2 linked regions of the Macaca fascicularis genome follow. Each later gene encodes a partner of the first gene's protein in a complex. Links are inferred from orthologs where the notes say so. Each region holds a gene or a part of one and is shown on either strand. Other genes may lie near its edges.

Region 1 (3,816 bases):
TCTTCAAATGATGCAGGAGATGTAGTAATGACAGGTGAAGAAAGCTCCTGACATTCATGAACAATTTTGTGATTTACATTATCTAGGCTAAAAGGAATATGGCTTTTATCCTTTGAATGTACATGAGGAAGTATACATACCCCTACTGAAGAAAAAAAAAAAAAAATTAAAATGGACCAAATTAGATGCTCAAAATAAATTCTTCAACATTTAGTAACTGTAAAATTCTGTATTATTAAAGTTTGCTTCATTTGTGTGGCAGCAATAGAAAAAGATTTAAAAAATAAATAAAGTTTGCTCTTGTTGGCTATAAATTTAAATTTATGATCTCCCTATTTCATGCCAGGGATTTGACCTATTGTGAGCTTAATAATCCTTATAGACTGAAATTTTATGCAATTATTAGTAAAAATGAGTCCTTTTGTTATTTTGAGTAATTATATAATCTCAGATGGATTTCAAGATAGACGGCACTGCCAGCATTTAAGATTTTTAAAACCTTTATGTTCTATGTGTACTTTATGTTCTATATGTTTCTGACAGGCTCTACTGCAATACTCTGCCACTAAGAAAGGAGCCCTATACAGAACACAAACCAGAGACTTTCCTGATAAATATATGGTTCCAAGCCTAAAAGTCTAATACGTTTTTACCTATCTACTTTGGAGACAGGGTCTCACTTTGTCACCCAGGCTGGAGTGCAGTGGCACGATCTCAGCTCACTGCAGTCTTGACCTCCTGAGCTCAAGCGATCCTCTCACCTCAGCTTCCCAAGCAGCTAGCACTACAGGCGTACACCACCATGCCTGTCTAATTTTTTGTATTTTTTATAGAGACAGAGTTCCACTCCTGAAGTCAAGCATTCACCAGCCTTGGCCTCCCAAAGTGCTGGGACTATAGGCTTGAGCTGCCGCATCCGGCCCAAAAGTCTATTACTTAAAATGAATGGAGGCTAGCGCAGTGGCTCATGCCTGTAATCCCAGCACTTTGGGAGGCCAAGGCAGATGGATCACCTGAGGTCTGGAGTTCGAGACTAGCCTGGCCAAGTGAAACCCCAACTCCACTAAAAACACAAAAATTAGCTGGGCATGGTGGCAGGTGCCTGTAATCCCAACTACTCGAGAGGCTGAGGCAGGAGAGTTGCTTGAACCTGGGCAGCAGAGGTTGCAGCGAGCCGAGATTGCGCCATTGCACTCCAGCCTGGGTGACAAAAGTGAGACTCTGCTTCAAATAAATAAATAAATAAAGATGAATGGTAGGCTACTCATAATCAAACTCCGTCTCAAATAAATAAGTAAATAAAATGAACGGTAGAGTACTCATAACCAAGCAAAATAATTACCAGGAATAGTATAATTACTCATTTCATGCACTTAAAAGATAGTTAGATAGTAAAGATTTATCACCTGTCTGTGATTTCCGTCTAATAAATTAAAAATCTTGGTTGATAAATCTTTTGGCTCTGTCCAAACTGAGAACAGTTTAAACTAAATTATTTCAATGAGTGCTATTGTCTCTTTGTACCGTATTTGTCATCTAATTGTGAATACCATCCCAAGCAGCAACTCCTTGGCTAAAGACACATGTATAAAGTGATCAATGATCAATGAGCTCAGTTAACCAATGACATTCATGATGGTAATGGCAGTATTCACTAGAGCAACTATTCCATGAATATGAATTATTCTTTTTATTTATTTATTTGTTTGTTTGTTTATTTTTTGAGACACAGTCTCGCTCTGTTGCCCAGGCTGGAGTGCAGTGGTGCAATCTCGGCTCACTGCAAGCTCCACCTCCCAGGTTCCAGGTTCACGCCATTCTCCTGCCTCAGCCTCCCAAGTAGCTGGGACTATAGGCGTCCGCCACCATGACCGGCTAATTTTTTGTATTTTTAGTAGAGATGGGGTTTCACAGTGTTAGCCAGGATGGTCTTGATCTCCTGACCTCCTGATCCACCCGCCTTGACCTCCCAAAGTGCTGGGATTACAGGTGTGAGCCACCATGCCCGGCTTGAATACAAATTATTCTTAATAAACCAAGTGTACGATCTTGAATTGGCTGTCACTATACCTAAACAGTAGTCAAATAGTGGATAGATCAATATATACATATCACATTTTATGGAAGAACAACAAAATGGAGACAACTTCAAATGTAAAAGGGTTATTACTCAAATGTGGGTATAATTTCTTTTTTTTTTTTTTTTTTTTTTTGAGACGGAGTCTCACTCTGTCACCCAGGCTGGAGTGCAGTGGCCGGATCTCAGCTCACTGCAAGCTCCGCCTCCCGGGTTCACGCCATTCTCCTACCTCAGCCTCCCGAGTAGCTGGGACTACAGGCGCCTGCCACCTCGCCCGGCTAAGTTTTTGTATTTTTAGTAGAGACGGGGTTTCACTGTGTTAGCCAGGATGGTCTCGATCTCCTGACCTCATGATCCGCCCGTCTCGGCCTCCCAAAGTGCTGGGATTACAGGCTTGAGCCACCGCGCCCGGCCAAATGTGGGTATAATTTCTTAAAAGTTAGGTTTTAAAAGTTTCTATTTTTGGTAGGACTTAGCTTTCATTCTTACCATCACCCTGTTCAGTACTGATCTCTGATTGCAATACTAGATCTCCCATTGTAAGTAAAGTTATTGCAGCTTCAGTGCTTCCATCACTGGTACCTTGTGAGGAAATATATCAACATTAAAACAAAAGAATGAATCTGGAAATCTGTTCACTTAAAAAATATTTTTAATTGAGGTGTTTATCTCCTAGTAGCAGATTCCAATATCCTCTGAACCATTAATCCCTTAATAGGGTAGTCTTTTGTTCAGGTTATATGTTACAGATAAATAAATCATCACTGTTGGTTTTGACTCACTGACCATGCCTCCCTCCCATTAAATAATATCTTCAAGGAAAATGCTCTCCCATTTGTACAGATCCAGAGGAAACGCTCAAATATTTCTTAAACATTTAACTTTTAATTCACCTTCTAAAATAACATTCTAAGAATCCACATTTCTCACAGAGATAACACATTCAATAGCTGAATCTTTTTGTTAAACTCTCCAGCAAACTGATTCATTTATTATCCCCACTATTAAATGATTGTACTAGTGTTAATCAAGGTAGTCTTAGCAGTTTCCTTGATAACAGTTACCTGGTTCATCTTGGATATGTTCACCTGTGGTCATTTCCTAAAAATGAAAAAAATAAGTAATATCTTAAATATTTCTCCAAACATGTTCTGTTTCTCAACACGCACTACATTTTTAGAGGTCTTTCCATACTTTGAGTTACAATAGCATAAACTGGTTTGTCTTAATTTATAATTATTCACAAAATTTCACCAGCAAGAACAGAAATAATTTAAAGGCAAAATTTTTGTGTCTCTTGCTCCTGATTTTATCTTTATATTGTATTATGTGCAAATTTTAACTCTTATCATATTGTTATGTATGTCTACCATTCTTACTTTACTTCTTCATTTTCATAATCCTTCAACTCTAGTCATATCTGCTGCCAATTTTTACCAATGGAAACCAAGGCCTGAAGGGTATTGCAAAATTTTTATAATCCTACGTAGCTTAAAACTTAAACGCATTTTAATAAATTAAGAAGTTACAGAACCAATGTCCAGAGCGACAGCTTGAGAAGCTTCACTGACCCACTCCTCAGTGAAACCGATTTTAAAAACAAAACATTTAACAGCCTCTGAAAATGATCCTAGCGACAAAAAGCAAACGAAGAAATATCTGTTCAAGAAAATCTGAAAATTTGCTAACAAAGGTGAGAGTCTATGTGAACCAAAACTGCTCTCTCTCTCCTTCCT
Region 2 (4,377 bases), on another chromosome or scaffold:
CACCTTCTTTGTCCAAGTAAGAATGTCAACCACACTGTCTAAAACTAATACATGTTTCTGAGTGGTGTGTGTGTGCGCGTGCACATGTGCAAATGTATCTTAATATTTAACTGTCAGACAGCCAGAAATAAACTCTCATCCTATATCTCACGCTAGTGGGGAGGTCTAGAAAAGGGTGGGGGGCTTGGACTGCCAAAGCCCACCATTATTAATGTCCTGAAGCCCCCTTCTGTTATGATACTAAAGTAATTCAAATGGAAGAGAAAGGACCCTTGGGTATTATTGTGTCCCTTGGCCCTCCAATGTGATCAAGCCCCATGGGAATGGATGGGATGTCTTTGAAAAGGAGTAGTGATTCTCACACTCTGAGAAAGCAGTCTCTTAGGGAGGGGATGGTGTTTTTAGGTTTGGATATCACGCGTAAAAACTGGGTGTGGAAAAGAAGGGACTGGCACTTCATAAAGGTATGTTTTGTTTTGTTTGAGACGGAGTCTCGCTCTGCCACCCAGGCTGGAGTGCAGTGGCGCGATCTCAGCGCACTGCAACGTGCGCTTCCTGGGTTCAAGCGATTCTCCTGCGTCAGCCTCCCGAGTAGCTGGGATTAGAGACGTGCACCACCACGCCCAGCTAATTTTTGTGTATTTTCAGTAGAGACGGGATTTCACCATGTTCCCCAGGCTGGTCTCAAACTCCCGAGCTCAGGTGATCCACCTGCCTCGGCCTCCCAAAGTGCTGGGATTACAGGCGTGAGCCACCACGCCCGGCTAGCTCAAGGTTTTTTTTAAGGAACATCTGAATCCGCGTGCTTGCACTCCTCCAGGTTGCCAAAAGCTCCATCACTCCACATTCGTTCACTCCAAACTCCTTTAGACATTCCTGCCTGGCCTCCAAAAGCATTTGGGTTTGCCACTCCGGATTTTATTTCAACTTCCTCATTTTACAGTTGAGAAAAACAGGAGGTAAAGAGAGGAAGGTACCTGCTTTAGGAAGCAGCTCTGGAAAGCAGAACACAGTTTCCTGCTCTCGCTCTCTCTCCACTACTCTCCCTTTAAAAAATATACTTTCTTCTATGGCCAAATTAAACATTCATTACCAACCTGCGATTGCCTTAGGACTTTAAAAGGAGGGTTGTTCAGGGGTGACAACAATCTCCTGTCTATTATACGTGTCCATGTAGGCAGAAACCTACCCAAATTCAAGCCCCAGTCTGGGTCCCAAAAACTAACTACACAGAGCAGGGAAACCAGAGAGCTACAGTTCAGACCAGGAACCTCCTCTCCTAGCTCACGTTTCTACCCGAGCCCGCGGAGGAACCGACCGGAAGTGGCGCTCAGCCTCCCCGCGGAGGGAACCGCCTATCCCGCCGTGGCGCTGGCCGGAAGACGAAGGTGCAACCCTCTGAAGGGTCCCCTCCTACTTTTTGCTGCCGCACGGTTGCTGTTGCAGACGCAGGAGTCTCCGAAGGCTTCCGCGGCTTTGGGGCCGGTTGTGAGATGCCAGGCAGAGGCCGCTGCCCTGACTGCGGCTCCACGGAGCTGGTGGAAGACTCACACTATTCGCAGAGCCAGCTGGTGTGCTCCGACTGCGGCTGCGTGGTCACCGAGGGGGTCCTGACCACTACCTTCAGCGACGAGGGCAATCTCCGAGGTACTTGTGGCCCTGGGGACAGCCTGGGGCGGTGGAGGGATTAACATCAGATTCCTTTTGTCTCCCCGCTCCCCCCGCATACTCCTAACTGTAACGCGCACTCCTAATATGAGAGAAAATGACCTAAAGTGAGCGAGGGAGCCGAAGGAGATGGGGGCTGCCATTCATCTGTGTTTTTCCAGCACTTAGTGTAGGGCATAGATGGAGAGGGTAATAAATGTTGAGTAAGTGACACAGAAAGTTCCACTCATCTTGCCATATCTGGTCATTGTGGAAGGATTGCCGATATGATTATAGCATGTATTATTACCCTGAAATAGTTTTAAGCACAAACTGGAAAAACATTACTTTGCTTTGCTTTCCAAGTTTCTGACCATGGCAGCCCTCAAAATCTGCAGCCATTGTCTGGGTGGAGTGGCTTAAGCCTGTAATCCCAGCGCTTTGGGAGGCAGAGCCGAGAGGAATGCTTGAGCCCAGGAGTTCAAGACCAGCCTCGGCAACGTAACGAGATACTTGCCTAAAAAAAAAAAATTAAGAATTAGCCAGGTGTGGTGGCATACACCTGTAATCCCAGCTACCCAGGAGTCTGAGTTAGGAGGCCTGCTTGAGCCTGGGAATTGAAGGCTGCCGTGAGCTATGATTGCACCACTGCACTCCAGCCTGGGCTATAGAGGGAGACTCCTTAAACAAACAACAAAAAAAAATCTGCTACTAGAAAAATTGCCTGTATGGAATGTACTGGAAGGATGACTGGAAATTTGGAACACTTGGAGCTGCTTTAGTGCAGTCCTCACCTTTCCCAGTCTCTGTGTATTCGGAACCGCTTGTAGACAGAAAATCAGATGGGGCCTTTAACTGTGCAGCAGCAGATGCTCAATGATTTGAATTCTGCGTCCTGGTTTTGTGTGGTGGGAGGGCAGGGGTCTGATGTATAAAGGCTAAGCACACTATTTGTTGTTTATTATTTTACAGAGGTAACATATTCCCGAAGCACAGGGGAAAATGAACAAATTAGTCGCAGCCAGCAACGAGGTGAGAATTGACCTTTTACAACACAGTAGCTTTAAAGAAAACTATCCTAGGCTGGGTGCTGTGGCTCACGCCTGTAATCTTGTAATCTCAGCACTTTGGGAGGCCAAGGCAGGTGGATCACCTGAGGTCAGGAGTTCGAGACCAGCCTGGCAAACATAGCGAAACCCCATCTCTACTAAAAATACAAAAATTAGCTGGGCATGGTGGCTCGTACCTGTAGTCCCAGCTACTTGGGAGGCTGAGGCAGGAGAATCACTTGGACCTGGGAGGTAGAGATTGCAGTGAGCTGAGATTGTGCCACTGCACTGTAGCCTGGGTGACAGAGTGACAGTCTGTCTCAAAAAAATAATAATTAAAAAAAGAAAACTATCCTGGTGGCCTAGTCCAGCTTTTCACTTTTCCTATTTTCAGCATTGCTGGTGTGAGGTAGAGTAGAAGAGAATGGTAATTAGGAATTTAAAATGGGGATGGTGGCTGACACCTGTAATCCCAGACTTTGGGAGGCTGAGACAGGCAGATCGCTTGAGGCCAGGAGTTCAAGACCAGCCTGGCCAACATGGTGAAACCCCGCCTCTACTAAAAATACAAAAATTAGTTGGGCCTGGTGGTGCACACCTGTTATCCCAGCTACTCGGGAGGCTGAGGCAGGAGAATCGCTTGAACCCAAAAGGAGGAGGTTTCAGTGAGCCAAGATGGCACCACTGCACTCCAGCCTGGGCAACTGAGCCAGACTCTGTCTCAGAAAATAAAATAAATGAAATAAAATGAAATAAAATAAAACAGGGATGGTTCTGAGAGAGGCAGCAATTCAGTATAAGGTTTGGGTTTGATCAGATGTATGTTTGAGGTAGCCTTTAAGAGCCTGGATAAAACTGGCTTGGCCCTGAATCAAATCAGCCTGCAAAAACTAGTGGGCTGAAATGTGACTTCTTTACACAGATGTTTTTGTGTCTTTAGAATGACTGTACCAAGTGTCACTCCTGTCTATCCAGAAAGGTACATAATTTGTGCGTCTGATATCTGAGGCAAGTTTAGCAGATCTAAATGAGTCCTAGCAGAATTTTCTAGGAGGTGCCCGATAGCTCCTTTGACCCCTCTAACTTTTGCTGTGGGTTTTTCCTAGGTCTCCGCCGAGTGAGAGACCTTTGTCGAGTTCTGCAGTTGCCACCAACATTTGAGGACACCGCGGTTGCCTACTACCAACAGGCATACCGGCACTCTGGCATCCGAGCAGCCAGGCTGCAAAAGAAGGAGGTGTTGGTTGGGTGCTGCGTCTTAATCACCTGCCGACAGCATAACTGGCCCCTAACAATGGGAGCCATCTGCACGCTGTTGTATGCAGATTTGGATGTGTTTTCTAGCATTTACATGCAGATAGTAAAGCTCCTGGGACTGGATGTGCCATCTCTGTGCTTGGCAGAACTGGTGAAGACCTATTGCAGCAGGTACCTTCCTGGTGGGAGACAGTAGGATGGGATGGAATGGGTCCTTAGACCTGAATCCTTTGACCTTTGGCCATCTCTCTTTTTTTTTTTTTTTTTTCTTGAAACGGAGTCTCGCTCTTGTCACCCAGGCTGGAGTGCAGTGGTGTGATCTCAGCTCACTGCAACCTCCACCTCCTGGGTTCAAGCTATTCTCCTGCCTCAGCCTCCAGAGTAGCTGGGATTACAGGTGCCTGCCACCATGCCCAGCTAATTT

The links.
Region 2: BDP1 (region 1) and BRF2 share a complex: the UniProt entries of both Homo sapiens proteins name them as parts of the TFIIIB complex. The link is inferred for Macaca fascicularis from reciprocal best matches to the Homo sapiens genes BDP1 and BRF2.

Annotation. Positions count from the first base shown.
Region 1 is NC_088380.1:75,497,741-75,501,556, reverse strand, and holds part of BDP1 (transcription factor TFIIIB component B'' homolog), read right to left. Parts: intron 3,182-3,816; coding exon 3,145-3,181; intron 2,663-3,144; coding exon 2,570-2,662; intron 146-2,569; coding exon 1-145. UniProt on the Homo sapiens protein: General activator of RNA polymerase III transcription. Requires for transcription from all three types of polymerase III promoters. Requires for transcription of genes with internal promoter elements and with promoter elements upstream of the initiation site.
Region 2 is NC_088382.1:41,227,314-41,231,690, reverse strand, and holds the start of BRF2 (transcription factor IIIB 50 kDa subunit), read left to right. Parts: upstream 1-1,400; 5' UTR 1,401-1,493; coding exon 1,494-1,647; intron 1,648-2,619; coding exon 2,620-2,679; intron 2,680-3,802; coding exon 3,803-4,124; intron 4,125-4,377. UniProt on the Homo sapiens protein: General activator of RNA polymerase III transcription. Factor exclusively required for RNA polymerase III transcription of genes with promoter elements upstream of the initiation sites.